Linked DNA regions of Notamacropus eugenii. The protein of the gene in region 3 purifies or fractionates together with the protein of the main gene of each other region. This does not show direct contact. Links are inferred from orthologs where the notes say so. Each region holds a gene or a part of one and is shown on either strand. Other genes may lie near its edges.

What was found.
Region 1: the proteins of PRPF40A (region 3) and SNRNP70 fractionate together in Homo sapiens (co-fractionation; 3 studies listed by BioGRID, with this or other methods). This does not show direct contact. The link is inferred for Notamacropus eugenii from reciprocal best matches to the Homo sapiens genes PRPF40A and SNRNP70.
Region 2: the proteins of PRPF40A (region 3) and RBM25 purify together in Homo sapiens (affinity purification with mass spectrometry; 5 studies listed by BioGRID and IntAct, with this or other methods). This does not show direct contact. The link is inferred for Notamacropus eugenii from reciprocal best matches to the Homo sapiens genes PRPF40A and RBM25.
Region 4: the proteins of PRPF40A (region 3) and NCBP3 purify together in Homo sapiens (affinity purification with mass spectrometry; 3 studies listed by BioGRID and IntAct, counting the BioPlex papers as one, with this or other methods). This does not show direct contact. The link is inferred for Notamacropus eugenii from reciprocal best matches to the Homo sapiens genes PRPF40A and NCBP3.

What each region holds. Positions count from the first base shown.
Region 1 is NC_092876.1:12,373,675-12,380,659, forward strand, and holds the start of SNRNP70 (U1 small nuclear ribonucleoprotein 70 kDa), read left to right. Parts: upstream 1-3,968; 5' UTR 3,969-4,098; intron 4,099-4,757; 5' UTR 4,758-4,776; coding exon 4,777-4,923; intron 4,924-6,622; coding exon 6,623-6,685; intron 6,686-6,985. UniProt on the Homo sapiens protein: Component of the spliceosomal U1 snRNP, which is essential for recognition of the pre-mRNA 5' splice-site and the subsequent assembly of the spliceosome. SNRNP70 binds to the loop I region of U1-snRNA.
Region 2 is NC_092872.1:293,561,465-293,569,381, reverse strand, and holds the start of RBM25 (RNA-binding protein 25), read left to right. Parts: upstream 1-4,917; 5' UTR 4,918-5,114; intron 5,115-6,235; 5' UTR 6,236-6,402; coding exon 6,403-6,405; intron 6,406-7,917. UniProt on the Homo sapiens protein: RNA-binding protein that acts as a regulator of alternative pre-mRNA splicing. Involved in apoptotic cell death through the regulation of the apoptotic factor BCL2L1 isoform expression.
Region 3 is NC_092876.1:210,021,947-210,029,689, reverse strand, and holds the start of PRPF40A (pre-mRNA-processing factor 40 homolog A), read left to right. Parts: upstream 1-4,726; 5' UTR 4,727-4,985; coding exon 4,986-5,387; intron 5,388-6,430; coding exon 6,431-6,562; intron 6,563-7,743. Other genes in the region: ARL6IP6 (ADP-ribosylation factor-like protein 6-interacting protein 6), read right to left, coding at 827-895, 3,548-3,971.
Region 4 is NC_092877.1:388,341,885-388,349,595, forward strand, and holds the start of NCBP3 (nuclear cap-binding protein subunit 3), read right to left. Parts: upstream 3,005-7,711; 5' UTR 2,990-3,004; coding exon 2,789-2,989; intron 2,685-2,788; coding exon 2,619-2,684; intron 1,257-2,618; coding exon 1,151-1,256; intron 1-1,150. UniProt on the Homo sapiens protein: Associates with NCBP1/CBP80 to form an alternative cap-binding complex (CBC) which plays a key role in mRNA export. NCBP3 serves as adapter protein linking the capped RNAs (m7GpppG-capped RNA) to NCBP1/CBP80.

The DNA.
Region 1 (6,985 bases), about 200 Mb from region 3:
TGGGGGTTAATGGATTGCAAGTGTGATGTGAGTCAGCTGGGCAATATGGATAAAAAACTTCTTGTGATCTTATAACTTAAGAGAGTTGTAGATTTCAGGAATAGGAAGGTGACAGTCCCACTGTCCTTTGCCCTTGTCAGACCTCATCTGAGTACTAGGTTCGCTTCTGGGTACTACGATTTAACAAGGACATAGATAAGCTGGAGAGGTATGAAGGAGGTTAGCCAGGATGGTGAGTTAATATTGAGTCCAACATAAGCATTGGTCAAAGTAACCTAGGATGTTGAACCTTAGAGAAGATTCAGCTGGCATATGGTATTTGAATTACTCTGCAATTGTGGGCTCTTGTGTCCAACAAGGACAGGACTTACTGTTTGATCCTTGAGGGCAGAACCAGGAACAATGGGTAGACATTCTAAAGAGGCAAATTTAGACTTAATATCAGGAAAACCATCCCAACAGTTTGAGCCATGGGCAGTTTCAAAAGGTCCCGGGTCCTTCTCAAAGGTCTGTGAACAGAAGCTTGGCTGCCAACCTCATCCAAAAGAATGGCCTTTTCTCAAACCTCATGTTCCTTGACTTCTTGGCAATCATTGCTAATGCAGATTAGCTTCCTGACACTGCTCTAACCTGGTTCTCCTAGCTGATGGCTCCTTCTTGATTTCTTTTGCTGAAGCTTCATCTAGGAGATTAACCTGTTATCTCCCACAGGGCTCTGTCCTAGGCTCTTTTTTCTTCCTGCTTTATCCTATTTCACTTGGAGACTTCATCAGATCCCATAGATTGAATTATCATCTTTATTCTGCTGATTCCCAAATCAACTTTTTCAGTCCTAACTTCTCTGTTGCCCTCCAGTCTCCCAGCTCCAATTGCCAATGTACATGTCAAACTGGAGTCCTGGAGACACCTTACCCTCAAGATATCCAAAATGGAATTCATTATTTCCCACCCTCTCCATCTTCTCTTCCTAACTCCTCTGTAACTGTCCAGGTACCATCATTCTCCCAGTCAGCCAGGCTTTCAACTGTGGTATTATCCTCACTTCCTTAATCTTGATGTCTTCCCCCATAACCATGTGTTGCCATGATCTGTCAATTTTACCTTCACCACCTCTCTTGTAGTACAGGCCTCCTTCCCACTTCATTCTGACACCACTGTGGTACAGACCCTCAGCCCCTTATACCTGGACTCTTTTAAAAAATATTTTATTTTCCTCCCAATTACATTTAAAAAAATGTTTTTTAACATTGGCTATAAAATTCTGAGCTCCAAAGTCTTTCTCTCCCCCTCCTTCCATTGAGAAGTCAAAGAATTTGATATAGATCACGCAAAACATATTTCCATGTTAGTCATGTTGTATAAGACTACACAGACCAAAGCAAACAAAAAAAAAAAGAAAAGAAAAAGTATGCTTTGATCTGCATTCAGACCCCCACCAATTCTTTCTCTGGAGGTAGAGAGCATCTTTCATCCTAAGTCCTTCAGAATTGTCTTGGATCATTTTGTTGCTGAGAATAGCTAAGGCATTCACAGTGGATCATCATACAATATAGGTATTAACTATATACAATGTTCTCCCGGTTCTGCTCATTTCCCTTTGCATCATATAAGTCTTTCCAGGTTTTTCTGAGAGCATCTTGCTCATCATTTCTTATAGCACAGTAAGTAGTATTCCATCACAACCACATACAAAAACTTGTTCAGCCATTCCCCAATTGATAGATGTCCCCTCAAAGTTCAATTCTTTGCCACCATTAAAAGAACTGCTATAAATATTTTATACCTGGCCTCTTGAAATAGCCTGCTGACTGGTCTTTCTCCTTCAGATCTTTCCCCAGTCCAGTCCTAAAAAGCACAGGTCTGACCATGATACCAGCCTACTACACAAACTCCTGTGGTTTGCTATTACTTCTAGGACCAAATATAAAATATTCTAGTTAGTAGTTAAAGCCCTTCAGAAGCACCTCTTCCCCAGTTTTTCCAGTCTTTTATATCTCATATCACCTCCCATCCACTCTTTGATCCAGTAAAACCAGCCTCCTTGCTGTGTTCTAACAAGACACTCTATCCCTGCCTCCACCAACCGACTTCAGGCATTTTCATTGACTCCCCTTTCTTGGTTTCCATAAGAAGCCTCTGCTGTTCCTTCTTCATTCTATTGACTTCCTCTCTGTTGGTTGTCTCCAGTATATTGTCACCAGATTGTACATAATTGTTTGCATCTTGTCTCCCCTTTTAGACTGTGAGATCTTTGAGAGCACGCTTTTTAAAAAACTTTTAGTACATAATAGAGGCCGCTAGGTGGCGCCACAGTGCACAGAGTGCTGGGCCTGGAGTCAGAACTGTCCTCTTGAGTTCACATCTCAGACGCTTACTAGTTGTGTGACCCTGGGCAAGTCACTTCACCCTGTTTGCCTCAGTTCCTTCTTCTGTAAAATGAGTTCTAGAAGGAAATGGCAAACCAGTCCAATATCTTCGCCAAAAACCTCCTCCAAAACAACGAAACCTAAACGGGGTCATGTAGAGCCAGACACGACTGAAAAAACGACCAGACGACTGACAAGCAAGCCCTTGATAAATGCTGATTGACTGGGTGAGCCCGGACATCATTTCACTTCCCTGTGCCTCAGTTTCCTCATCTGAAAAACTGGAACAAGAGCACCTCCTTCACAGGACTGCTGTGATCGAGTTAGTCCAAAGTGGAGGACTTGGCCAACGTTAGTGATACATGAACGTCAGATAGCAGTATTACTCTTCACAGCCCAGCACCTAGCACAGAAAGGGCTCACAAAACGCAGCCCATGAGAAGCCTCCAGCCTGCCCTGCGGTCCTGGGAAGGCACACCGCATCTGGCCGTGAGCTTGGTCAGATCCGTGCTGGGTGAGAGCTGTGCCAAGCGTGGGCCTGGGCAGAGCGTGCCTGGGGGGCTTCGGAGGAATCCCTACTGTGCTCTTGCTTTTACTTGGAAATAAACCTCTTTGGGAAAGAAAAGGAGAGATCCTCCGTGTCTGCTGTCTCCACTAGGTGAGAACACTTTGATTGACTCCCACCATCCCCTGGGGCGTGAGGAAAGCCTGTGAAGTTCTGGAGCTCTGGAGGCCCTTATGCCCAGGACATCCGGGGCAGCCCAGGGAGGGAGAGCAGCTCTGCTGGAGTTCTGGGATCATCAGGGGATGCTTGGCTAGAGACCCAAGGACCAGGGGGCCTCTTTCCCCCAGGCTACCCCCTGGCAACGTTCTGGGGCCGCGACCCTGGGGGGCCTGGGGCTCTCCGGAGCTGGAGGTCCCGCAGAGAGCAGCCCGGCCCCGCCACGGGGCAGCCCGGGGCTCTGAAAGGGACCCCAGCTCCCTAACGCCCAGAGGGCGCCCTTGTGGTGTCCCAGGCTGCACAGGCTTTAGTTTCGTCGTTCCGGACGGATCGCGGCCCCGCCCTCCGGGGAACGTGACCCTTTCTTTCTGTAAAGCGGGGCTGGACTGTACTGGATGAGTGTGTCACGTGGAGGACTCTTTTCTTGGTGAAAGGACACTTCTGGTTGCGAAGAAAGGTGTGATTCACCCAGCTCGCGGAAGGCGGCGGTTGAGCGAGTACGAAAGAGGGCGAAGGAGAAAGCAGCAGGCGCATGCGCCCTGACAACGTTGGCCGGGACGGGGAAGGAAAAGGGCGAGCGGAGGACGATCGGCGCGTGCGCGCTGGACTCTTCCCCGGCAGCCCTCCCCGCCCCAGTCGATTCTGCGCGTGCGTACTGGTTCGCGGGCGCGCAAGGATCTCGGCGTGGCCCCGCCTCCCGTCGGCCCCGCGCTCGCGCCAAGTTCTCGCGAGACCCGCCTCCCTTGGTCGGTGCGTCTCTCATCGCCGGGCCGCGCTGGTGCCTGTGTGAGCCGTGACCGGACGGACGGGCAGAGTGACGGAGTGACGGAGCGAGCGCCCCGGAGCCGACAGCGCTGCCGGCCCCGCCGCCGCCCCCGGCCTCGGCCCCGACGCGCCACGAGGCCCCCGAGCTCCAGGAGGACGACGACGAGCCGCCGCCGCCGCTCTTGCTGCCGCCGCCCTCCCCGGGAGCCCCGCCCGGCCGAGGGGGCCGCCGCCGCCGCGCGGCCGGTAAGTGCAGTAGGCCGGCCTGGCGGCCGGGGCCCCGCTGGTTACCCACAACTCCCTGCGCCCGCCGGTACCCCCCCCCCCTTACCCACAACTCCCTGCGTCCTCCGGGGGCACCCCCCCCACCCGCACCATTCTGCACCCGCTTGTCCCCCCCTTACCCATAACTCCCTGCGGCCTCCGGGACCCCTCTCGCTACCCATACGTCTTTGCGCCAGCCGGTACATCCCGCACCTCCTTCACCCACAATGCCTCACGGCCGTCGGGGACCCTCCCCCTTGCCCCCTGAATCCTCTGGGACCCTCCCCTTGTACCCGGGGTGCCCTGTGCCCGTCGGGACTTCTGCCCAGACCCCCTCCTCACGGATCTCGGCCCGCCAGCCCCTTCCCCGCCCTCCTCACCCGCGTCCCCCTATGTCGCAGGAGCCCCCTCCTTTACCCAGAGCCCTTTGCGGCGCCGAGGCCCTGCTCTCACCCTCGTTGTCGTTGTTGCCCACGTTGGGCCCCCTAGAACCCCGGGAAAGCCCCTCGTGGGAGGTGGGCCCGGGGGGCCTGTCACTGAGGGTCCCTGCGTACCCCCGGAGGCTGGGCCCAGCGGGGAAGGGAGGTGGAGGCCAGGTGCCTTTGTCCCCCAGACTTGTGACCGCCATCTCCTCCCTCCAGACCCTGTACACCCGGCATCATGACGCAGTTCTTGCCTCCCAACCTCTTGGCCCTCTTTGCTCCTCGAGACCCGATCCCCTACCTGCCCCCCCTGGAAAAGCTGCCCCATGAGAAGCACCACAACCAGCCCTACTGCGGCATTGCCCCCTACATCCGGGAGTTTGAGGTGAGTACTCCCACCACCCCTTTCCAGGACTGGGCCCAGACCCAGGCAGCGGCAGGAATCCCCTTGGGGGCAGTCAGATCACTGGGTTCCTTTGGAAGAATTGGGCTCAGCTGGTCCATTCCAGCTCCGTGGGCATCAGCAGGCTGGGTGCTTCCGTTGTGGAGTGAGGGGGCTCGGCCCCTTCTGGTAGTGATGTTTGGAAGATCTGAGGGAATGCCTCAAGTTTACGCCGAGGAGTTTTGTAGGACTGGCAAAGGGCAGAGGATGGGCAGAGAGCTGGGTGCCAGGGAGGCTGACTTCTCTTCACTGCTGTGGAATGTGACCAGAGGGATGGTTAGCAAACAGCTGAGACCCCTGAGTTTGCTTTTGCTGAGGACAGACAAGAAAACCCCTCTTCCCTTTGTTACAGCCTTAAGAATGTGGCGGTTTAGAGAGTGCTGTAGGTCTAGTTCACTTAGATTTCAGCAGAGCATTTGGTGAGAGTCTCTTCTGTAATTCTCCTGCTAAAGGTGGCACGAGGTGCTCTTGAAATGAATGCACTTGTATGTGGTCAGCACTTGCTGAATACCAGCCCCCAAGGGTAGTGCAGAGGAATTCTTTTTGATCCTGGAAGGAGGCCTTCAGTAGGGGCCCCTTGGAGAGAATCTTCACCAGTGAGGGATTCAATCATTTCTGTTGGTGCATTGCTAACCATGTTTGCAGGTGACACAGAGCTAGGAGGTAGTGAATGTATTGGGTGACAGAATCAGGAACCAGAAAAAAAATCTTGATAAGCTAGACTATTGGGGCTGGCCAAAGTAAGATGAAATGTTGTGGAGGACAAGCACCAGGACTTGAATTGACTTTCATATGCACAAGATGAGAAGTAGGTGTTGTAGAAAACAGTCCAGAGCGAGGTGTTAGGTAACCACCCCCACCCCTGTGGAGCTCTGTGGCCTAGTCTTGGGGTCAGCCACTTAGGCAGGTGATTCAGGTCGCCTTGTCCTCTGCCCGAGTTCATGAGAAGTGAAGATTTAGGGAATGTGGTGGGTTTCTCCCGGCATATGAAGGACTCCCTCCCTCATGACAGAAGGGAGGGCAGAACCCCGAGCACTGGGTCAGAACAAAAGTAAGGCCTCTGGAGGCTCACCAGGGAGCAGAGGCTAGGCAGCCACTAGGGGTTGCTGTAGTTATGGGCATACTGATCACCGAGGTCCCTTACTAACAGTCACTAGGATTTCTAATGCACTTTAGGGTTGGCACACATCTTTACAAAATTTATCTCATTTGATTGTCACAACAACCCAGGGATGTAGGTGGTCTTATTATTCTGTTTGACAGATGAAGAAACAAGGCCGGAAGAGTTGAAGTGACTTGCCCACTGTCATACAGATAGCGTCTGATACCAGACGTGAATTGAAGTTTTTTTGACTCCAGGTCTATCCCTCTCCACTAGGATGCCCTGTGATTGAAAGTAGAATTATAGAGAGTAGTATGTCAGAGCTGGTAGGAAACTTAGAATACCAGTGTGGCAAGCTTGCTTCACAGCTGAGCAGAGTTGGGGGGAGAGAGGGAAAAGGTGGTGGTCAGACCAGGTGAGTGGTGCTAAAGCAGGAAGGGGGTTTGGGGATAGGGTGGTAACAAAGGTAACTTCCTTGGCAAATCTTTGTGGTGTCTCAGTTTAGTCCTGCTACTTCTTAACCCCTTTTTTTGTCCTTAGGACCCCCGTGATGCCCCTCCTCCAACCCGAGCAGAGACGAGGGAGGAGCGGATGGAAAGAAAGGTAGGGGACTGTTTGGACCTGGCAGGAAGAAAGGAAGGAAATACAGGCTCTTCCTCATGGAGTTTTGGGGTCCTTAGAGGGAAAGGTTGGGGTCTGTGTGAGTGAGGCAGAGGTCACATCCAGCTATGGGGTAGAAAAGACTTTGGGGTTGGTCTTTGAGCTGAGCTGAAGGAGTACTTAGAGAGTGGGCAGACCTGTGAGGAAGAAGACCTGTGTTCAGGGGCTAGTGCGGTGGCTACCTTGGCTGGAGGAAGTTGGCTCACACCATATCACAGAGTCTGAAGGGAGGGGACTTTAGGG
Region 2 (7,917 bases), on a different chromosome or scaffold from region 3:
AGGGCCCAAGGACATGTCTTTCAATTTAATTCAACAAACATTTATTAAACACCATTTAGTATGGGGCAGGTGCCTGGGATGAGGGTACAAAGACAAAAATAAGTAAATAAATACAAAGTACACATATCAAGTAATATAAAGTGATTTCAAAAAGGAGAGAGTGCTAACAACTTCTGAGGGAGAGAAAGCAGGAAAGGTGGGACCCAGCAATGCTTTGGAGGAAGCTAGGATTTCACCAAGGAAAGCTGAAGACAGCACATTCTCGACACAAGAAAATCACTATGCAAACATAGAGAGGTAAGAAATGAATGTAGGGAACAGTTAGCAGGCCAGTTACATTGGAATGGAGAATGTGTAAAAGGGAATAATATAAATTAAGACTGGAAAGGTAGATGGGAGGCAGACTAAGGAGTTTTATATTTTATGCCACTGGATATTCCTGAGAGCTAGAGTATATGATACAGCCAGATGCATGTTTCAGAAATATCAGTTTGGTAACCATGTGGAGGATCATGAGGGGAAGAGACTTGAAACAGGGAAAACCCAATTGGGAAATGATTGCAATAATTCAGGGGAAAGGGGATGAGGGCCTAAACTACCAGGGCAGTTTTGAGTAGATCATGTAGCAGATGCGAAGGCAGGGAAGAAGAAAGGAATGAGCATTTATGTAGCTGTTGCTTACTATGTGCAAGGCACTGTGCTAAATGCTTTTTACAAATATTAACTCATTTGATCCTCGTAACAATCTTTTGAGGTAGATACTATTATTATCACCAACTTACATTTAAAGAAACTGAGGCAGGCCAATTAATTGCCTTGCCCAGAGTTACACAGTTGGGAAATGTCTGACACCAGATTTGAACTCTGGTCTTCCTGACTCCAGGCCCACTGCTCTATCTACTGTGCCATAGAACTACTTCCAAAATTTGGCAAATTATTAACTACAGAATAGTCAATATAGAAAATTGACTTCCTATAGAATAGGAAGACAGAAAAGACAAAGAGGAATCAGGTTTTGAATATGGATGACTCGAAGAATTGTGGCACCACCATAATAATGGATAAGTTTCTAGGAAGGATAGGTCTGGTAGGAAATGTGAGTTCCGTTTTGTAATGTTGAGGGTGAGGAGCTGATGGGATATCCAAGTGGAGATTTGTAGGAAGAAGTTTGTAAGAAGGGCTAGATTAGGACTTGAGATGCAGATTTGGGAGTCATTTGCATAAAAATGATAAACTGATTGCCAAAAGACAAAGATCATAGAGAAGAGGGAATTAGAGCTTTGGGGAATTCACATGTAGGGTTCGAAGAAGGACTATGAAGGAGCAATCAGACAAGGAGAACTGGATGAAAATCAAGAGAATATCTAGAACAAAGATTCTTCACTTAGGGTCTATGGGATTGCTTTATTTTGATAACTGTATTTAAAAATATTTGATTTCCTTTGTAATTCTATGCATTTTATGAATTTTAAAACATTCTAAAGAGGGTTCCATAGGTTTCACCGGACTGTCAGAGGGGTTCATGACACAAAAAAGGTTAAAAACTCTTGATCTAGAAGAAGAGAGTAGTCAACAGTAGCAAATGCTGTAAAAAAAAAAAAAAAGGTCAAAGAGGAAGAAGACAAAAAAAAAAAAATCACTGAAATTCATGGAATTTAGAGTTGCAATGGAACTTGGAAGCCAGTTAGTCCAGGTCATACTCAAAAGGAGTCTCCCCTAAAGCACATGTGACAAGGAGTCATCCAGTATTTTACAGAAATATTCTAATGAGGGGGAATCTAGCACCATTCCAAGGAAGCCCACTCAACTTTTGGAAGCTCTAATTGTTAGAACATTAAGCTAAATTTGCCCCCTGGTAACTTCCACCCATTCTTTTTGATTCTGCCCTCTGAGGCCAAACTGAACAAATCTAATACTTTTTCCACAAGGCAGTCTTTCAAATACTTGAAGACTATCATATCCCGACTTGAGTTTTCTTTTTTCCAGGCTCAACTTTCTCAGTTCTTCCAACCTCCTACAACATATACTTAAGGACATTTACCCTGTTTATTCCCCCTCTGTATGCTCCTTGACTTATCTTTATCTTTCTTCAGTAGTGGTACCCAAAACTGAACAAAATATTCTAGATATGATCTCACTAGGGCAGACTATAGAAGGGCCATCACATCCTTATTCCTAAAACCTACTCTCATGGAGCTCAAAAATGCACTAACTTTTTTTAGTTGCCTCATTACATTGCTGGCTCCATATTGAGTTTGTAGCCCATGATAATCCCCAGATCTTTTTCAGAGAAACTACTGCAAAGCTGTCATCTCTTCTCTATCCTGTACCTGTGAAATTTATTTATAAAATGTCACTTTTGATGTTGGAAAGGAGTTTCAACAGAAACTGGGGGTGGAAGCCAGACTGCATGGGGAGGAAATGGATGAAGAGGGTAAAACTGAAAGTAGAGTGTAGATTACTTTTTCTGCTAGATTAGCAGAGAAGAGGAGGGATTATGTTATATAGCATAGTTTCTTGGAAGAATGGCAAGGTCAAGAAAAGGATTTTTTATGCCAAGGAAAATTTAAACATGTTTGTAGGCATTAGGGAAGGAATTAGTAGAGGAAGAGATTGATCAATGGAGCAAGGTTCCAGAGTAGACAGGAACAGAATATTTTGAAAGATGCCAAAATAACTTTTCTAAATTACAAGTCTGGCCCCAGTTATCTTTTTTTTTAATCAATCCATCTTCGAGAACTATCAATGGTTCTTCTTTGTCTCTAAATGCAAACTCTTTATATTGGTATTTGAAGTCCCAAATTATTCCTCTTCACATATTCTAAGTTCCAGTGGTTTATTTGTTAATCACTCCCCAAATTTAACATTCATCTTCTATTTCCATAACTTTGTACAAACTGTCTTCCATGCCTATAATGTACTCCCTCCTTAACTTTATCACATCCTTCATCAAATTATTAAATAATCAATACTAGTATTCTTCTAGCAGAATGTAAACTCCTTGAGATCAGGGACTGCTTTTTGTTTTATCTTTGTATTCCTATCATCTATGAGTGCCATGAATTTAGCAGATACTTAGTAAATGCTTGATGGATTGGATTAGATCAAAAGTATAAGCAATAATTGTTCTTGTTTGGTTGTTTCAGTAGTGTCCAAGTCTTCAAGACCCCATTTGGAGTTTTCTTGACAAAGAAACTGGAGTAATTTGCCATTTCCTTCTCCAGTTCATTTTAGAGATGAGGAAATAAGGCAAACAGGGTGATGTGACTTGTCCAGGGTCACAGAGATAGTAAGTGTCTAAGGCCAGATTTGAACTCAGAAAGATGTCTTCCTTCTTCCAAGCCCAAATGAATATCAATCACGATGATAAAGGGTGCTGGGTCTTGTGATGGTGTGGCATGAAGATTAGGTGAAAGAAACAAGAATGTTTATCCTGGAGAAAAGAAGATTTGGGTTGTGAGTCAGGGATGACAGAAACTGTCTTCAAGTATTTTAAGGTTTGTAAAATTGATTGGCACTGGAGAGAAGAACTAGGAGCAACAGGTCAGCAGAAAACCTGGAGGTTGGGTTAAAAACTTCCTAACAATCAATTATTTAAAAATAATTCTAGTTTCCCATTCTCTGCTCCCCCTCCTTCATCCTTCTGTCTCTGGGCCCTAAGGAGCAGAGTCCATTTCGTGTTAAATACGGGTTGGACAATTCACATCCCAGTTCTAAGTAAGCCAATAAAGATTAGATACAGCCCCACCAAGGGGAACATCCTAAAAGAGAAACAAATGATTACCAGATCTTATACAAATTGTTGTGTTTGTCCTTCCTTCTCCAAGAGGACCATGACATCAAGATGATGACATGACTTGCAGTTGACTTTGATTTGAGTAAGGGAGGGCTGTGCAAGGTCACCAATCTCACTTCCTTCTGCTGAGCCATCTGGGTCCAGCGGCCTGACATTCATCAGGAGGACTGGAGATGGCCCAGGATGCAATGGGAGACCCTGGCCCTTTCGGGTCTTATCCCATTCTCACTTTGAGTGATATGCAAATATCACCTTTGTGGTAGAAGACATTGATCTTTCATTTCAAATACTTATTAGCTTCTGAATCAGGGAACATTAAATTGAACCTTTCAGTCTTCCAGGCAACTCCCTGGTTGGGGTCTCTCTGTAATGGGAGAGGGCCCCAGTAGAAATCACAAATCAGATCAAACCCTTACCAATCCCTCCTCCCCCCATGACCCTCTTCTCCACCAAAATACCCCAAGTGAGCTCACTCAGAAGTGACAAGGGACAGCACCAGAGTCTGGCATTTTGGCTGGCCTGTGGTAACAGAACCCGGCCCTATGGCCCTCTGTCCTGACAGGCCTTACACAGCTGACCAGGGCCTCCAAAATCCCTTGCAGCTTTGATCCCCAGATGGTACTAAAGTCCTCTCTCCTGGTTTTTCCTTTTCTTCCTTTTTTTCACCAACCACAATCTGGGGCAATTCTTGTAGAAGAAACATCTGAAAGTTGCCAAAATTCCAACTTCCGGTTGGGATCGCTGGCTTCTTGGAGTCCAACCTCGGGGGCTATCAGCAACCCCTCCTGCGTAGAGAGTCCCTGTTTACGAAAAGAGAGTCCGGGCTTCGTCCAAATGCTCGACGACCTAATGTCATGCGTAGTAGGAGGCTCCTTCGGCAGGCAACTCATCCCTTCGGCCACCTTGACCTCAAGATGGCGTCAAGGCGTCGCAAACGTCAATCGGCCCCAAGCAAAGATGGCGGCGAGCGACGGAAGTTACCGCCCCCTCGATCCGGGCCTTTCTAGCCTTCCCAGCCTTCTCTATGATTATCCGCCTCCTGCGTGTGAGGCGTCGCTCAACGGAGGCGACTCTTGAAGGCGCTCTCTCTATGGTTCCCGCCTCCAATTCTTTCGGGCCGCAGTGCACGCCGGCCTAGCGGAGGACGTCCGAGAGCACCCCGCGCAGCGCGGCTGGCTCTGCGGCCTATGCGAGCAGGCAGGCGCCTCGGTATCAATCACACGGGCGAACGGCGCGCAGAAACTCCGGGACCGGCTGCGGCCACTCGTAATCCGGAGCCCTAGAGGCCGCAAAGACGGTACCATTTTCTCAGCGGCGGGTGAGTGGGCTTCGCGGAGCGCACGGAAGGGAAGGGGAGGGGAGCAGAGCGGGGAGAGGCGGGCTGGGCCCGGCCCGGGAAGGGAGGCAGGAAGGCGGGCGGCGGCGAGTGTCGGAAAGGGCCCGGGGACAGGAGAGGTAGACGGGGACCAGGCTTGAGGACGTCTCCGCCTCTACCGCCTTAAGCCAGCGGCTCCGGCTCGGGCCAGGCAGCCCCCGTGGAGACCCCAAGCTTCCCGGCAGGGCTTTGCAGCCCCTCTGGCCTGGCGCTGCCCGGCCCCGCCGCTCCGGGGCCCGGCTGCCCTGCCACGAGGAGGTGGGTGGGCAGGCACCCCACCCCCCGCCCGTCCCACCCCAGCCCCTCCGCTTGCCCCCCCCACGCCCTTGCAGAGTGTGTGCCCGCAGCTCCCAACGGCCTGCCTTGCTCAGCCACGGACCTGAGCCCCACCCCCATCCTGCCCTCTCCTCCTTCCAGACCCCCACTCCCGGCCCGCCTCCCCCTCCTCGCTCCCCCGTGGACGCCTAGTGTTACTCAGCAGGGCCGTGTGTGAGCCCTCAGGGTTGATTTTGAATTGGCAGAGTTCTGCCCTTTAAACTGCACTCTGCCTGCCATTCATTCTGGGCACCTGCCATTCTCCAAAATGTCCTGAGGTTTGACCTCCCTCGCCCCCCCCAAAAAACCCCTTTTTTTCGTTTCCTCTCCCTCCATATCTCCTCTCTTCTCCTTCCCTTTCTTTGGTCTGGAGTCTAGTGTGACATCTTTAAATACTTAAGGCAAATAAGTATGCGTATACATAAAGGTGTCAGTCGATATTAAGTGCCTACCATGTGCCAGGCACTGTGCTAAGCCCTGGGGGTACAGAGAAAGGCAAAAGACAGCCCCTGATCTTTGGCAACTTACAGTCTGATGGGGGAGATAACATGCATACAACTATAAGAAGACTGGTTCTGAAGTGGTTGTAATGTAAATTTATAATGGAGAGATTTTGGGCAAAGTGTGAGGTGGACAAAAAAAAAAAGCCAAAAAGTGCTTCTCTCCTGGGCTTGTTTTCTTAGAATCTTAGGATTTTAGACTTGGAAGGGAGCTTAGACATCATCTAGTCCAACCTCTTCATTTTACAGATGAGGAAACAGAGGCCCAGAGAGGCAAGTGCCTTGCCCAACATCATGCAGCTAGTTAGTGGCAGAGCTGAGACTAGAGGCTAGATCTGCTGACTCTGTCTCCTCTTTCCACTACACCAGCTCCTGGACCTGACTGCCACAGTAGGATGAAGTAATATGAATAAAACATGGTAATATCAAGTAGTTGTTAATGTGGGAGGGGACTCTTCTTTCAACAGAAAAATAATCAATGAAGGTTTTTTAAACATTATCTTGACATTTTGAGTTTTTAAAAGGTCATATTGCAAGATAATCTAAGCTCCCCGAGAGAATTCAGTAGGTCATCTAGACCCATCTTCTACCATTCCGTTCCTTAAGTATCTCCAAGAAAGAACATAATTTCACTGTATTCTTGACAATTCAATTGGTAGTCTAAATAGACATTTTAAAAACAAATTTAACATCCTTTATTTCCACGTTTGGAACTTATTGCTGAACTTTTTTGTGTGTGTCCTTGTTAATGTTGCTTTTTGGACATGGGGGAGGGAGTAAAAGATGGAAAAGGCTAATTTTTTTTTTCCAATTTAGTTAGTATTCACTTAGCATGTAGTCACTTGCTTGATTTTGGAAACACAAAGGCAGAAATGGAGTATTCCCCTGTCCTCAGTGCATAAGCTTTGATATGCCAGCTAAGTGTAAGGAACTTATGCTAATTTGTGGGGATTGAGAGGCAAAAATGGAGTGGTGCTTGCTGTCAATGAACTTTTTAGAAAAGACATGTGTGACTGGAAATATAATAATGTTAATAATATAACAATAAAGAATATATGCAAAATTCATATAATGTAAGTTAGGGAGGAAGAAAACGGGGAGAGTGTGTGAAGGAGGGGGATGAGAGGATGAGAACAACCTAGACATTTCATGTAGAAGGTGGGTCTTGAAGAGAGCTAGGAATTGGGGGGAGTGGTGTTGAGAATGGAGTACATTCCAGCTAGTGCAAACTTGGGAAAGTGGAGGTGTCTTGTGAAGTATAGGAAATTGGCCAGCAGTGTGTTTGGAGGGGAGTAATGTGGAAGAAGACCAGAAACTGGCTCAGGTGGGATGAGCTTTAAATGCTAGAGGATCCCAGAAGCAACAGGGAGTCAATGAAGTTGACCCAGTAAAGGTAGTGCAAAAGAGTTTATATTCTGCTTGGGAGATATGAAGAGCAGATTCATCATGTTAACAGATAAGTAGACACAAGGTAATTTGAGGAGAGAAGAGGGGTAGGGATGTTTGTGTAGGAAATGGGACCTCAACTGAGTCTTGGAAGGAAGGTTATACATTTCACTAATCTCATAGGCATGGAAAATGATCTGAGAGGTCATTCACTTAAACTCAGTAGTATGGATTTTGAGATGTGGAGATGAGGACAGTGTAATCCAGGAATGAGGAATGATTTACACAAATATAATGGATAATATGTTAAATTTGGGGAATAAACAGCTAGTCTTCCAATTTGGTTGGAACATAGAGTGCACAAAGGAGAAATATGAATTGTCTGGGAAGACAGATTGGACTGAGGTAATGAAGGTTTTAAATGCCAGGCTAAGGAGTTTGAATTTTACCCCTAGGTGCAAAGAGCAAATGATTTGGACAGTGAGTGTTTTGAACAATGAAGTGACATGGTTAGGTCTTTGATTTAGAAAGATTGTTTTGGCAAA
Region 3 (7,743 bases):
AGAGCCAAAAGAAATCCTAGGAAACAGGCCGAGATATGATTCTGGGAAGGATTAAAAAATTTTTTTTCAAGATCTGGTAAGCATTTAGATCCTAAATTTCCTACATGATACTAAGTGTCATCTTTTTTTTGTTTTGCATACAATACCAACAAGGTTGAGGTTCAGAAGAATAGACACCTTATAATCTGTGCTTGCTGAGGTAATCTTTGTCTATATGATAACATATTGAAAATGTGTTTATTTCTATGATTTGGAGGGAAAGGTGTGATTTTCCTAGCTGTTGGTGTTTTGGTTTTTTTTTTTTTTTTTAAATATTAACCCTGTCTTGGCTCTAAATCAAATTATCCATATCTCATTTAGGACAGTTTAAGGCAATCAACTTCCTTGCGGCTAGTTAAGAGCCATCTAGTAAGGGCCTAGAAAGATCCTGTGAAGCTAGAGCAGAAAAAAAAGCCAGTAACTCCTTAGGGAAAATGGGAATAGTTGTAGACTTTGATAACTTAACCTACTCTCTCAAATACTTCTATCCAAATATACAAAAGTATAATGAGTACTTTTTCTACTTCTCATCCAGTGACAGAATAGTAATAAAATTTTCTATTTTGTTAGGGAAGGAGAAATGTATTCATTTACTGTTACATGATGAGTGTAAGTCACCTTACAAATACGATGTAAATACCAAAGAAAGGAAATACGTTAGTTAGGACTGAATGCTATTACTCCTTCATAGAACATGTTTTATCATTTGGTGTTAATCCCCTGACTTTGATTTGCACAATAAATTTCACATCTGGGAAGAAAGCAAAAAATCTGGTAAGCCAATTACCTATTTTGTTCATACCTAATAAACCAGTTTCTACACCATCTTCAGTCTTCAAATTCTCAGCATGCAATTCTGTAAATACAAAAGGAGGTTTAGATTGGTAAAAAAATTTAGTTCCTAATAAATCAGAAAGCACTTATTCATCAACTTTGTGAAAGGAACCTGGACTTTAAAAATAAAAAAAACCAGCCCTCAAGCTTATATTCTAGTAAGTGAAATAGGTATACATACAAAGACATACAAAGTACAAGGTAATATTGGAGGATGAGGGAGAGTTGTGATCAGGAAAAAACCTTGAGTAGGAATTCCTGAGTTAAGTGTTAAGCAAGGTTAAGGCTTCTAAGAGGTAAAGGAGTAGAAAGCTTCAAAAGCACAGACAGAACGTCACACGTAAAGGACAGTAAGGAGGCCAGTTTGCCTAATTTAAAGAGTTTTGAAAGATAGGACATGTAATAAATCTGGAAGGTAAGGTGAAGTATTTTTGTATCTCAAAGGCATATGATCTTTTGTGGAACATGTCAGACCTATGCTTCATTAATATCACTTTGGCAGCTCTGTGAAAGACTGAGAGGTGAGACGCTTAGAAGACCAATAAGGAGGCTTTGTAATAGGCCAGATAAGAGGCAAATGGCTGCAATGGAAAGAAAATTACAAGTAACAGATGCAAGAGCTTGGGGGGGCAAAAAAATTTTCATGACTAGCCAACTGACTGGATAAGGAAGATGAGTTTAGAGTGATTGTGAGCTCTTGTAAGGGGGATAATAATACCCTAACCACAAATAAGGAAATTCATTAAGAGGAAACAGCACTGACAGGAAACATCAGAGGAGTATTTGGGGGTGGAACTTAATCCTTCAAACATTATGATAAATTGTCTTTTCTGTATGAAACCTACCATGGACACTAGGTAGCAATGCCTTCCATTAGGAATCATGCAAAATGAGGGGGGACAAAGTGGATTCTGGATTGAGTTCCTAACAAAGATTTTTTTTCATTTTTATTTTATCTCTGCATCCTGACTTTCCTCAAGTCCCACCTTCTGTAAGAAGCCTTTACTAGTCCTAACTTTAGAGCCTTCCTTCTGAGATTATTTCCTATTTATCCTGTATACAATCTGTTCATACAGTTGTTTGTATGTTGTCTCCTCCATCAGACTATGAGCTCTTTGAGGAAAGGGGCTGTTTTTGGCCACATATTTATCCCTAGGACATAGCAAAAAGTAAATACTTATTGACTTGACTATATGTACACATAATCCTTGTAAAGTTTCACATAACTAAGGTAGGTAGGTACTACCTTCCTTTTATTTAAAAAAAAAAAAACAAAACTCCAGACATTGATAAGATAAATGGTCTAAATTCAGACTAGTGTTTCCAAACTTTTTTGATTCTGTATCTCTTATCAATAAAAAAATTTTTGAGCACCTACCCCTAATACACAAATTTACTTATTTATAAGTTATAAAGGTGCTACTGTACTAATTATCTATATTACAAAATTTTCACAATATGATGAAATAATATCTGATCCTATAATACAGAACTATAGGACCAAGTACAGGAGTGATATGCATGGTCAGACCAGCATTTCAGGATAATAATCCCTTTGGCAACTGTGTGTAGAACAGACTGGAGAAAAGAGATCTGAGACAAGAAATCAATTAGGAAGTTACTGCAACAGCAGGGGATGATGAAAGCCTGAAATACGGCAGCAGCTGGGGGTAGAGAGAAGGGCAGTTTCAACTGATGTTGTACTACCAGCTAATATAGTGCTCAGGTTTTAATTAGGCTATAACCGTCTAGAGCCCAAATAAGACCAAAAGGGAGAGACTGGGAGGGTGCATAGCTATGGAAGGAATCATATTGTTAGGCAGTAAAGGATGAAGAAGGGTTAGTATATCTGACTGGAAAACAATCCTAGGGAGGCAGGTGATTATGAAGTGGAGGGTGAGATGTGATCCATCTAACTACTGCTGGATCTCCACTACTAATTTTACTATGAAAGTGCTTGAAAAGTATTTGTTGGAAGTATAAGCCAATGAATTGCCATTTTTAAAAGAGCCCCTAACTCCAGCACTTCCATATCATTGGTTTTCCGACTTCCATAAAAGATGATAAAAAAAGATTTTTTAAAATGGCAATGACAAGTAATAAACTGAGCTAATAGCAGCTTCCATACAATGAAATCAGTATGCTTAATCGCTCTGGGACAGTAGTTGGTGAGTATCTGGGGGGCTCTATCAAATCTGGCCTCAGACTCTCCCCAGAGATGTCTTAACCCGGTCTGCCCGTTTCCTCCTCCGTAAAATGAGCTGGAGAAGGAAATGATAAACCACTCCAGTATTTTAACCAAGAAAATCCCAAGCGGGTTCCCAAAGAATAGAACACTGAGATGACTGAACCAGTGGGTCGGTAAGGTATCCGAGTATTAAGACCCCACCTCCCCACTCGCCCTCCGCAAACAAGCCTTTACCAGTCCTTCCTCTGAGACCGTCCCCCATTTTAACCTGTACAGACTTGAATCGTTTCCATCTAGTTTTCCCAGTATTAGACAGAGGTCCTTGAAGGCAGGGGCTGCCTTCTGCCTCTGTCACCAGCAGCACTTTGCACAGTGCCTGGACAAGTACTAGCTGACTAACGGACAAGCCGAGGTCCCACGCCCCTCCACTCGGCCGTCGGCCCGGCATTGCTCGGCGCCCCCACGCTCCCCGGGCAGTCCCAGTACCTTTCACGACCATGTAGACGATAGCTAGCAGGAAGGCAAGGAGGGCGGCGAAAAGAAGAGAACAGACCACCGACAGGACCCGCACCGGCCACCGCTGGCCACGGGGAGTTCGGGCGGCCTCCGGGACTCTCACGGTCACCCCATTCTGTTTCTGCAGCTGAGGCGGCGGCGTGTCCGCCAAGAGCTCCGCTCGCAGGTCCCGAACCACTTCGTCCACCCCTCCGTCCTCGTCATCATCCTCGCCTTCCCCCCAGCTACCCCCAACCTGGGAGGGGGAGGCGTTGGCAGGCAGGACCAGGGAGGCCGGAGGCCCGAGTCCACGCTGGCGAATCGATCGGCTCCCACTAGCCAAGAACGACATGGCGGGAAAACGGACAACGGAACCCGGAAGCTCAGGGATTTCCTCCCTCCCCCTTCCCCCCATTAGCCAATTAGCGCCCCGAAGGCTCTCCGGGGCCTACCAAAAAAAGACCTGGGGGGAGCGCCCCAAGCATGGGGAGGGGGCCGCAAGAGCGCCCGGGAAAAGTGCAACGAGAAATGAACCCCACGCTGGGGACTGAGGGAGGAGGAAGGCAGAGGGAAGCAGGGGTAAACGGAGAAGAGGACGGGAGGGGAAAGCAGACATCTCCAACAGGACAGCGTCCCCCCCTCCCCCCACCGGCGGTGTAGGGTCCCAGCCCCCAGACCTCCGCCTCCACCACCGCGTAGCCTCCAGGCAAGCCGCGTGCCTCACGGCCCAGCAGGCCACTCCTAAGCCGCAAATTCGGGCGCTCGGTCCTAGCGCCCGCCGCCATTGCTGCCGTCCGCACCCCTCTGAAACCCCTTCCCTAGTCCGTCTGCTTTTTTCTTCCGTCGTCCCCTCTTAGGCACGCGAGGGGGCTTTCTCGTCTTCCGCCTACACGGCATCTTTAGCGCGCGACGGCCTGTCTCTTCTCTTGCCTAAACTGCTTCTTCCCATCCCCCTATTCGGCTTTCAACCTCCCCACTTCCACACTTCCCTTCTCGCGCAGTGCCGCGTCACGCTCGCCGCTCTTCACCCCGGCCATCGCGTGCTTCGCCAGTCTCGCGCTTTCTCACCCGGTGCCTTCCGCGTCCACGAGCCCCCTCCTCTTCCCCTCCTCCCTCCCCTTTTCCTCCCCCCTCCCCCGCCCAACCTCGAGCGGCGCGCGCGCGCATCCTGTCCCAGCCACCGCTAACGCTAGAAGCTGCTTCCCCCCCTCCTGGCTCCCCGGCGGCCTCAGGTTTGTGGGGCGTGCGTAACTCGGGTGGGGGGTAAAGGCGGCAGCCCCCCCACTGCCCCTCCCCCTACGGGGTGAGGTGGCTGTTAGGCCCGGGAGGCTGGGGCCTACGTACTCTTCTCTTCCCCGGGGGAAGTTGGTGGAGTTTTCCCGGCGGGGGACTCGGCGCAGAAACTTCCTCCGTCCCCCTCCCCCCCTCCATGCAGGCGACGCCGAGCGAGGCCGAGGCCGGGGGCGAATCGCCGCAGAGCTGCGTGCAAGCTGCGCGCTCTGATTGGACGGCGGGGAAGCCAGTCAGCTTATTGGCCCCGCTGATCCCGCCCCGCAGCTCCGGGCAGCCTCTACCCTTTGGCCCCAGCGGGCGCCAGCCACTCAGATCGCTCCTTGTTGGAATGTGTAGCGGCAGCGGCCGCCGCCGGAGCAGCCTCAGCCCGACGATGAGGCCGGGGACGGGAGTCGAGCGTGGAGGCCTCATGGTGAGTGAAATGGAGAACCGCCCTCCACCGCGGGGTCCCGGGAACGGGGAGCGGAGACTGTCCAGCTCGAGCCTCTGCTCCAGCCCATGGGCCTCTGCGGACGGCTACCTGAGGAGACGGCCCTCGGTAAGGGAGCGGTGGGGCGGGGGAAAAGCGGCACAATGAAAAAAAGAAACAGGAAGCCTTCTCCCTGTGGGGAAGAAAAAAAAAGGTGGACGGAGGAGAAGGCCTGAGGTGGCGGGATCTGGCTCTGACGGAGGGAAATGGAGGGCGGAGTAGCACAAAGGAAAGGCTGTGGGTCCCTGGGAGGTGGGTATTACTGTGGCGAAGATGGAGGAGGGAGCTCTGGACAGAACTGGTGGCTGGGTGGTGGCAGCAGAAGTCTGCTTTGGGGTGCAGGCCTGATTTGGCCAGGATAGTGAAGGGAGGAATGTGACTTGTAATGAAAGAAAGGAAAGAGTGAGCAAAGCTGGGTTGAGTTGCTAAGCGTGTAATTACTTTGTGTGATTGGGCACCTTTGTGGCCTAAATAAATTATTTGGATTTTATAAACTTAGTAAAGCAGGTACTCTTTCTATGGCACTTTTTGTACATAGCTTGCCGAATGGCCAACCAGCAGTAGTTATTTACTTTTAGAGCTGAAAGTGGTATGAAGTAGCTTTTCAGAGAGACAGAATGTTTTGATCTACCTTAGTAAGAATTTTTCGGGGAAATGACAGGTTTGACATTAGAAAAACAACCACAGGTAGCTTTTGTAGTATTCATTGAACCTTTTAAAATAACCCGTCATTTATTTGTAAGACAAAATAATTTAGTCTAAAATTTAAAAGCCGGCCTTGATACATAGGCAGAATAATAATGAGTTCTTTTCTTCCCCAGAATTGGTCTTAAAATGAGTTTTTCGTTTCCTTGGCATACTATATTTTAGCGCAGTAACTTACTAAGATACTAATTCTTTTTCGTCATTTTTGATTATCCATAAACAGGCAGTTTTTCTCCTCACTCTTCCCTCCCTTATAAAGTCCATATTTTATAAATGGTTAAGTCTCAAGTTCCTCAGTGTTGCCAAATACCTTACCACCTTACTTCAGTGATAACAATTCTTGATGCTTTGGGGGTGGGAAGACTTTATTGTTAATTGATGTTTTCTTCACTAACACTGTTTTTCAGATGGGACACCCTGGCATGCATTATCCACCCATGGGAATGCACCCTATGGGTCAGAGAGGAAATATGCAACCTGTACCTCATGGAATGATGCAGCAAATGATGCCCCCTATGGGAGGTCCTCCAATGGGACAAGTAAGACAGTTTTTAAAATTATATTTGCTTTGTAGCATTACTGTGATAAATAATTTAAAGCTTGGATAAGTGTTAGTAAATGAGTCTAAGATTCATATTTCCCCAAAAACACATTCAAAGGTTTCAAGTGAAATGAAATGTCGAATTCTGTCCGTAACCAGAGTTTTTGCTGTATTGAGGCTGTCGTCCACATAAAAATGCTCATCATTTCCATTTTGAATAGCAGTTTTTTGGTAGCTTAAAGGTTATGTTTTTAGTTGACTGATTGGATCTTTTCAGGCAAGTCAATTTTGTCTTATGCCCTAGCTGCAAATCTAGAAACTTTCTGTTCATTTCACCATGTCTTTTGTGGGTTACCCAACTGAGGTAAATGTATATAAGAATAGGAAAACCTACATCAACAACTTTGTTTAGGTGTTTGCCTTAGAATTTGAGTGTTATCGCATTTTTTGATACCAGAACAGTCTTCTTGCATTTTCCTGTTCCACATTGCTAATTTTCTGTAGGACATTTTTATTTTGAATTAAGAAAGTGCTTGTTGATTTTCTTCACTCCTATTGATGAACTATCCCTTCTCTCTCTAGTATAAATTGTAAATAGGAGTGATTTGTATCAGAAAGCTTCATTAGTGCTAACTCAGTGACCCTGTAGTGTTCTAATCAGGGAGAGTAACTAAATTCAGTAATTGTGACTGATATTTATACTTTAAGTCTGTTAGATGCTATGTGAAATATAAGTAGCTGGTTTCTCTCCATAAGAGTCTTGATATTGAAAAGTCATCAGAAATCTAGATTGTAATATCACATGGAGGCAATCAAGGGTGCTGAGTATGATCTTTCTCTAGTTAGTTTTGTTTAGTTTGATATTTGTTAAAAGATCATTGTTCATAGTGAAATTGCATAGCAGCCAGGAAGGAAAAAGAGTCCCTTTTTTTTTTTATTTTAAATTAAGAATAGAAAGGTTTATCACAAATACTTTTCTTCTGTGTAGTTTTTCTATAGTTAAACCAGTAAGTGGTTTAAAACTCTTTATTCAGAAGTATCTGGCCGAAGAGACTGGCTCTTTGCCTGTAGCATCTCTTTAAATAACTGAGCCATTGGCCTTCTGACCTAGGAACAACATAAGTTTCAAAATTCTCTTGGTGGTGGAAAAACAACTCTGTGATCCTTCTTCTGTTCCTT
Region 4 (7,711 bases), on a different chromosome or scaffold from region 3:
ATGAAGGGCTTTGAATGCCAAATATAAGTGTTTACTATTTGATACATTAGGGAATCACTGGAGTTTGATCACTTTGGTGAATGAACAGACTAGAGCAGAGAAAGATTTGAGGTAGGTAGACCCACCAGTACCTACTGTAATAGTTCAGGCATGAGGTGATAAGGGAAGGGGCTTAATCAAGAGATGCTGAAGAGGTGAAATGAACAAGAGATGGTACAGCAGGTAAAACGGACAAAAGATGGTGCAGGGGGTAAAATGGACAAGAGATGGTGGGGGGTGGGGGGGAATGGACAAGAAAAGGCGCAGAGGTAAAATGGACAAGAGGTGGTGAATTGGACAGGCCTTAGTACTAGCTTGGTTGGGGGGTGAGAGGGCCAGGCATGTTGGTGACAGGCCCCCATCTTATTTTACCTGGAGCAGGTAGGGGAGAAAATCAAAGCCTAGATCTGAAGGGGGCAGCCCAGGTCTGGGTTGCTGGGGCTCAAGCCTTGGATGTGGTCCCCAGTCTCCTGAGGGCATCAGCAGGCTCCTCACACATCCCTCTAGATCAGTGACCTTGAGGCTCATCTTTTGGCTCAAGTGAGGTCAGAACCATGGGAAGTTAGGTAAGGAGAAGCCTGTCAGACTTGTTCAATAAGAGGGAAATATGTAGGGATCTATGTGTGGCTCAAGGAGATCAGGAGATCCAAAGGAGCCCATCCCCCAACATGTTCCATGAGCACCTGGAAGGAAGGTCTGGGTGGGCTGGGAAGGATCTGCACCTCCAAGAAGACCCACATGGAGGGATTACCCAGTACGGTCTAGATCTACACAGGGGAGGCATTTGGAGTCACTGGTTTCTGGAGTCTTAAGAAGAGGGAGACCTAGCGCTGTCATCGCAGGGAACCCTGGCAGGAACCCAGGGGTTCACGCCACAGCCCCAATTTTCACACCCTCCCAGCTGGGGAATGAGGGATGAGTGCAGACTTTCAGATAAGTAGTTTAGGCCTTCCTGGGTCCCTTCCATTGGTGACAGTGCCTGGAGGTTACCCTCCTCAAGACAGACAGAAACCAGCTTCATTTCCCTCAGTAGTGTGGTTGGTTCAACGTCAGGACGCCTTTGAGTTTCACTGCAGCTCTCGGCTGGGGGTGGGGGTGGGGGGTCTCCTACCTTTCTTCATCATGTCTCGGTCCAAGGCCACATTCCTTTGGGCAAGGTTGACTTCGGCTCGGAAGTGAAAGCGCTTGGCTCGCTGCTCTTTCTTCTGGATAGCTTCCTAAAGAGCACGAGGAACCCCAGAGAATGAGATGGGTCGAGGCCAAGGCGGAGGCTGAGACTCGGAGCCCCCCGGCCTCAGCCTCCCTGCCCCTCTGGTGGTGGGCCAGGCAGGGAGCATGAAGTCTGACCCTTGACCTCATCTCCCACGCTATTCGGAAACTCCCTCCTCTCCACTCCCAAGTGCAGGAGGCCAGGCCCCTGGATGCTCGGGTCTGGACAGTGGGCCATGTCGCCTCCTGGGTCAGTGAGGAGGACAGGAGTCCCCACAGGCTGGTGGGGGAGGGGGCAGAGCTTTCAGGGAGCAGGGGCCTAGGTGGCCTGAGTTATCAGAGGACAGTCAAAGAGCCCAGGACTTGGTCCTGAGCAAAAGGCAAGACCTGGACACCCACCTACCGATTACTTATCCCATGCCAAGCCCCAGCCGGACACTAGTAAGTGACTGACAGAGGAAAAGGTGAGGTAGGTTCTGAATGTCACAGCATCAGGTGCACAGGCCCCATGACACTGAGGCCAAGGCAGGCCAGCAGAGCTGGAGGAAGAGGAAGGGAAGAGGGGAGGGGGAGAGGGCAAGGGGGCAGGGGGAGAGGGGGAGGAGGGAGGGAGGGGAAGGGGAAGGGGAAAGGGGAGGGGGAGGGGGAGGAAGGAGAGGGAGGGGAGAGGGCAAGGGAGGAGGGGAGAGGGAAAGGAGGGAGGGGGAAGGGAGAAGGGGAAGAGGGGGAGGGAAGAGGGGGAGGAGGGGAGAGGGCAAGGGGGGAGCCCAGTTCTCTCAGGCCAGGGACCATCGGCACCAGCCTGGGCTCACCCATGGGGGCTGCTTTACAGGCGGGGAGAGCCCCGAGGAAGGAGAACCCTTGGGGCCAGGAGGGTGGGGAAGCCCCTCCCCTTTCCAAACCCCGCGGGGGGGGGGGGGGGGGGGAAGGGAACAAGCACTGATTAAGCACCTACTGTGTGCCAGGACCTGGGCACGTGCTTCCTTAAGCTTCCTCACCTGATCTGTCTTTCAGGAGGAGATATCAAGGTAGAGGCAGGTACCTGACTGACCTGGTCCCCCAGCTGGCCAGTGGGGCAGAATGGGAACTCGAGTGCCCGTTGTGGCACCCCCTCCATCTCCCGCCTCCGAACCTTTGCCTGGAAAGCTCTGCCTTCTCCTCCTCCTCGCCCCCCTCCCCGCCGCCCGCCCGGCCTCCTCCAGGAAGCCTTCCCCAGCCCTTGGCCGCTCCAACGTAAGCGGGTGTAGACAGACTCCGGCTGGGCTCCCCATCCCCAACAGAAAGAGGTGCATTGTGGGAGGGGGCAAAAGCAACAAAGTCTCCGCCCGGGAGCCCCAGCCAGGTGAGCCGGCTCCAGGGCTCCTCCCTACCTTGGAGGTGACGTCGATGCCCGTGATGAAGCTCCCCGCCTTGTTCTCGTAGCGGCGGCTCGTGTCCTAGAACGAGACGGGCGGTGAGGGGGACCCCGACCCCGGCCCTCGCTCCCTGCCGCCCAACGGCCCCGGCGCGCCCGGCGGCAGGCTCTGAGGGGCGCACCCACCCGGAGGCCGGACCCCCGGCGTCCTACCGGCAGCAGCGAGCGCCGCACTGGCACGGCCTCCAGCTCGCCCTCCTCCACCTCCATGGGCTCGGGCTCGCCCCGCTCGGGGCCCGGCCCCAGCAGCCCCAGGTGGGGCCCCGCCGCCGCCGCTGCCGCCGCCTCGGCCTTCACCGACACCCGCAGGCCGCGCACGGCCGCCATGGCCCCGCCGCCGCCTCCGTCCGCCCGCCCTCCTGGCGTGCCAGCGAGAGCGCGTGCGCGCCGCCCAGGGCGCCGCCGTACGTACGCACGCGCACCAGCGAGAGGCAGCGGGCCGCCCAGAGCGCCGCCGACGTACCATCGAGATGCGGCCCGCCCGGCCTAGAGCGTCCCAGAGGACGCCCCCGCCCCCGCCCGCTTCGGGGGCGGAGCCGTTGTCATAGTTACGGCTTCCCGGCTCCGGCGCCTGCGCCTGTCTCCCTCCGGAGTAAGCGGAGGGAGGGAGGGCGGGGCGGCCTGGGGGCATTCGGCATCTGCCGCGGCCCCTCGGCCTCCTCCGCCTCGCAGGGCCTCCTCCCCCCAGGGCCTCCTCCCCCCACCTCCACTGGGGCCTTCTGGAGACAGTCCTTTAGTCCTAAGTGGCCGGAGGCTCGGGCACCTCGGGTGCCCCCACGGCCTGGACTGTGTTTCCTTAAGCATTTATGAAGCCCTTGCTGTATGCTCCACGCCTTGCCCTCGAGGGTCTGACGGTCTGACGGGACTGCCACACCCAGAAGGCTTGGGGGCTGACGCAAGTCCCCAAATTTGTGATCCTTTAAAAGCATGCCCACAAGTGGACAGGCCTCCAGAAGAGCCCCAGAGCCACTGAAGGGATGGAGAGACGGCTCAGGGTTTGGGGTTGAGTCTGAGCTGGGGCTGGGGGCTGGGGGCAGGGAAGCTGTGCGGGCCGTGGAGCCTTGGCACAAGGAGGGTAAGACCAGGGGCATCACAGCCCTGGGGATGGGCACTGCCCAGGAGTGTGGCTCAGGAAGGGATGGGTGGGGCCCGCTTGGTGAAGTGGACTGACTTGGGTGGCTCCTGGCGGCCCACCTCAAGGTCCTGGAGGGGGGCTCCGTCTGCGGCTCCTCTTGGTCCGGTGCGGGCGGACCCCGCTCCCTCTTGCGTATTGTCTCCCCCCGCTCGATGGTCGGGCGCTGTCTTTCTTATTTGTAGCGCTTAGCACACAGTAGGCGCCTAATACGTGCTTATTGAATTGGATCGCTGAATAAGTGTTTGAAGCCTACCTCGACTCTGTTAATCCATCCCCCTAAAACCCAAGTGTCCTTTCTGCCGCCAGCCTCTCCCCGGTCCGGTCCAGCCACTCCCAGCTGCCTCCGCCGGCTCTGACACTGCCCCCACCAGGGGGCTCCGCATGGCAGAAAATCAGATAACACCCAACCGCCGATCGTGGCAACGGAGGGACCGAGCCGCGGGGGGCTGCCTCGTGACTGTTCCGCTGGCCCAAACGGCCTCCGGGCCGCTACCCAGGACCATCCCCAGCCTCCCTTCGGCTTCTCTCCGCGGCTGCCCTGTTGTTAATGCTCCCCTTGCGTTCCCATCTCGGTTCTCCTGTTGGCGGCTGTCATCTCTCCAGCTTCGCTCTCATCATTCCTCTCTTGCCCTTTGTGGCCAGACTCTGAAAAGGCGTCTACACTGGCTGCCTCCGCTTCCTCTCCCCACTCTCTTAACCCCTGAACGATCCAGCTTCCAGTCTCATCCTTGCACCAGACCACTCTCCCCAGTCACCTCTTCGCTGCCAAAGCCTCCCCTCCCTCCCTCTACTGAGAAGGGAAGCCGTATTTCAATTGTGCGTGTGAACCCATGCAAACCGTATGTCCAGATTAGCCATATCTTTTAAAAAATGAAGTGAGAAAATGATGCTTCAATTTGCACTCCGAGTTGGTCAGTTCTTTGGGGGTGGATCGCATTTTTTCATCATGAATCCTTTACTTCAACAAGCCCACTGCAGCCTTGGACACTGTAGATCACTCCTTCCTCCTGGACACTCCCTTCTCTCAGTTTTCAGGACTCCCGCTTCTCCTCCTACCCATCTGACTGCTTCTTCTCAGTCTCCTTGGCTGGATTCTCATCCAGGTCAACCATGGGAGATCCATGAGGCTCTGTCCTCGGGCCTCTTCTCTTCTCCCCCTTTCCTACTTCGGTTGGAAACCTCATCAGCTCTCTTGGATTCAATGGCCATCTCTGTGCTGATAGGTTTCCAATCTGCCCAGGTCTCTCTGCTCTACTCCAATCTTACACCTCCAATAACCTTCCAGACATCTCAAACTGGACATCCAGCAGACATATAAAACCCAAAATGTTGGAGAAAACTTCTCTTTCTCCTTAAACCCTCCCCTCCTCCTACATTCCTTATGACTGTCCTCCTAGTCCCTCAAGGTCACAACCCAGGATTCAACATGGAGTCACTTTTTCTAACCCCCTAGATCCAATGTAGTGCCAAGGCCTGCCAATTTCACCTCTAGAGCATCTCTGGACGGTCTTTCCGATAGCCCCTTTTCTCTCCTCTGACACTGTCCCTCATCTCCTCACACTTGGTCTATTGCAGTAGCCTAGGGATGGCTAATGAAATAGAACCCATTGCCTCCTGAGGCAGCCAATTCCACTTTTGGATAGCCCTGATTGTTAGAAATTTTTAAAAACTCAAATCAAGTTTAAATTAGCCTCTCTTTAGCTTCTACTTTTTGTATTCTAAGTCTAGTTCCTTTCTCATGTGAGAGCCCTTCAAATAATTGGGTATTGCTCTCATCCTCCCCTCCCCCAACTCCAGTCCATCTTCCATTCAGCCACCAGTCATCTTCCTAAAGCACAGTTCTGATCCTGACACCCCCTTCTCCATAAACTTCAGGGACTCCCTACTGCCTCTGGGTGACATGTAAAATAAGTAAAATAGACATTTATGATAAAGATAAAATTAGATATCTCTAAAAATAAATGTGTTTTACATATTATAGAAAATCTTCTGTTTGACAAAGTCCTTCACAACCTGGTCCCTTCTTACCTTTTCAGACTGCCTGGCAATGTCTTCTGTGGTCTGGTGACTTTGGCCTCCTGGTTGTTCCTCACATGAGATGATTCATTTCCAAACTCCAGATGTGTTCAATGGCCATCCCCATACTTGGAATGCTCTCCTTCCTCTACACCCCCCTGGCTTCCTACTACTGGAAGCCTTTCCCCATCCCTCTGACACTAGTGTCTTCCCACCGGTGACTGTCTTCACTTCATCTTGTATGGACATGAGTTTTTGTGCATTGTTTCCCCTTTGGACTGTGAGCTCCTTGAGGCCAGTGACTGTCTTCTGCCCTGCTTTGTATATCCAGTGCTTGGCCCAGCCCTGACACATAATCCTTACTTAGTAAATGCTCATTGACTGACTGACTTCCTTCATTAATGTTTCCCACCAATTGACCATTTTGGCAACTGAAAATTCTGATGGAATTTTACAAGTGAGTTGACCCCAGAATCGTAGAGCTGTTTTAGGATTCGGTGGCTTTAATAGCCACCAGCTTTAATGAATGGTTTAAAATAGCACCAAAAATTTGGGATACCCTGTAGCCTAAAGCAGCACTGCCTTGGCTTGCTCAGTCTCTGATTGGCAAGTAGACCAAGCATTTGATGACAATGGTGATTTTTAGGGTGTCTTTGGTCTCCTTAATTTATTCTTGTTAAATATCTGTACAAAATTAATCCTTTTAATTTTATATGTATAGCCATCCCCACTTCTCTGTCTCTCTCTGTCTGTCTCTCTCTGTCTCTATCACTGTCTATCTCTGCGTGTGTGTCTGTCTCTTTTTCTCTGTCCCTGTCTGCCCAATCCTGTCTTTCTGTTTCTCTTTCTGTGTCTGTCTCTGTTTCTTTCCCTCTCTCTCTCTGTTTGTCTCTGTCTCCTTGTATCTCTGTCAGTCTGTTTCTCTTCCTCTCTCTTTCTCTGTTTTTCTGTCTCTGTCCTTGTGTCTATTTCTCTGTTTTTGTTTCTCTCTCTCTCACTGTGTGTCTGTATCTTTCTGGGGCTCTCTCTGTCTTTCTGTGTTTCTGTCTCCATCTGTCTATCTCTTTCTCTCCCTCTTTCTGTCTTTTTCTCTGTCTCTATCTGTGTGTGTCTCTATCTGTTTGTCTCACTGTGTGTCTCTCTCTCCTTGTCTCCATCTATCTGTTTCTTTCCCTTTCTCTTTCTCTGTTTGTCTCTGTCTGTCTCTCCCCCCTCTATTTGTCTCTGTCCCTTTTTCTGTCTCTATCTCCATGTATGTCCCTGTCTCTCTTTCTGTGTTTGTCTCTATCTCTCTCACTGTCTCTATCTTTTGGTATCTCTCTCTGTCTCTGTCTGTCTCTGTTTCTCTCCCTCTCTTTCTGTATGTCTCTGTCTCTATCTGTGTGTGTCCCTGTATCTCTGTCTTTATCTCTGTCTCTCTGTTTCTCCCTCTCTCTCTGTCTCCCCCCCATTTGTCTCTGTTTCTCTTTCTGTCTCTCTCTGTCTGTCTCTGTTTGTCTCTGTTTCTATCTGTGTTTGTCTCCCTCCTTCTGTGTTTGTCTTTGTCTGTCTGTCTTTGTCTCTCCCTTTCTTTCTAGTCTTTGTGTTCTCAAACTTGAGAATTCATGAATGCAGCGTTCAGTGAATGAGCATGTCCTGTCCTGGCTGCTGCCCTCCCATTCCTTGGGGGAGTCCACCCTAAGGATCTCTCCTCTCAGCCCGGGTGACTTCTCAGGTACCTGGTCCAAGGCAGCCATTTCCAGGTGCTGATTCCCTCCTTCCAGGCGGAGGCCTGCTGTCCTCTTGAAGCATCCTCTCCTGCTTGTGTCTGTGTATTGGTTATCCCCAGTGGATGGAAACCCAGAACAGCCAAAAGGTGTGAAGAGTCCAGACATCAATTCCCAGCTGGGGGTGGCAGC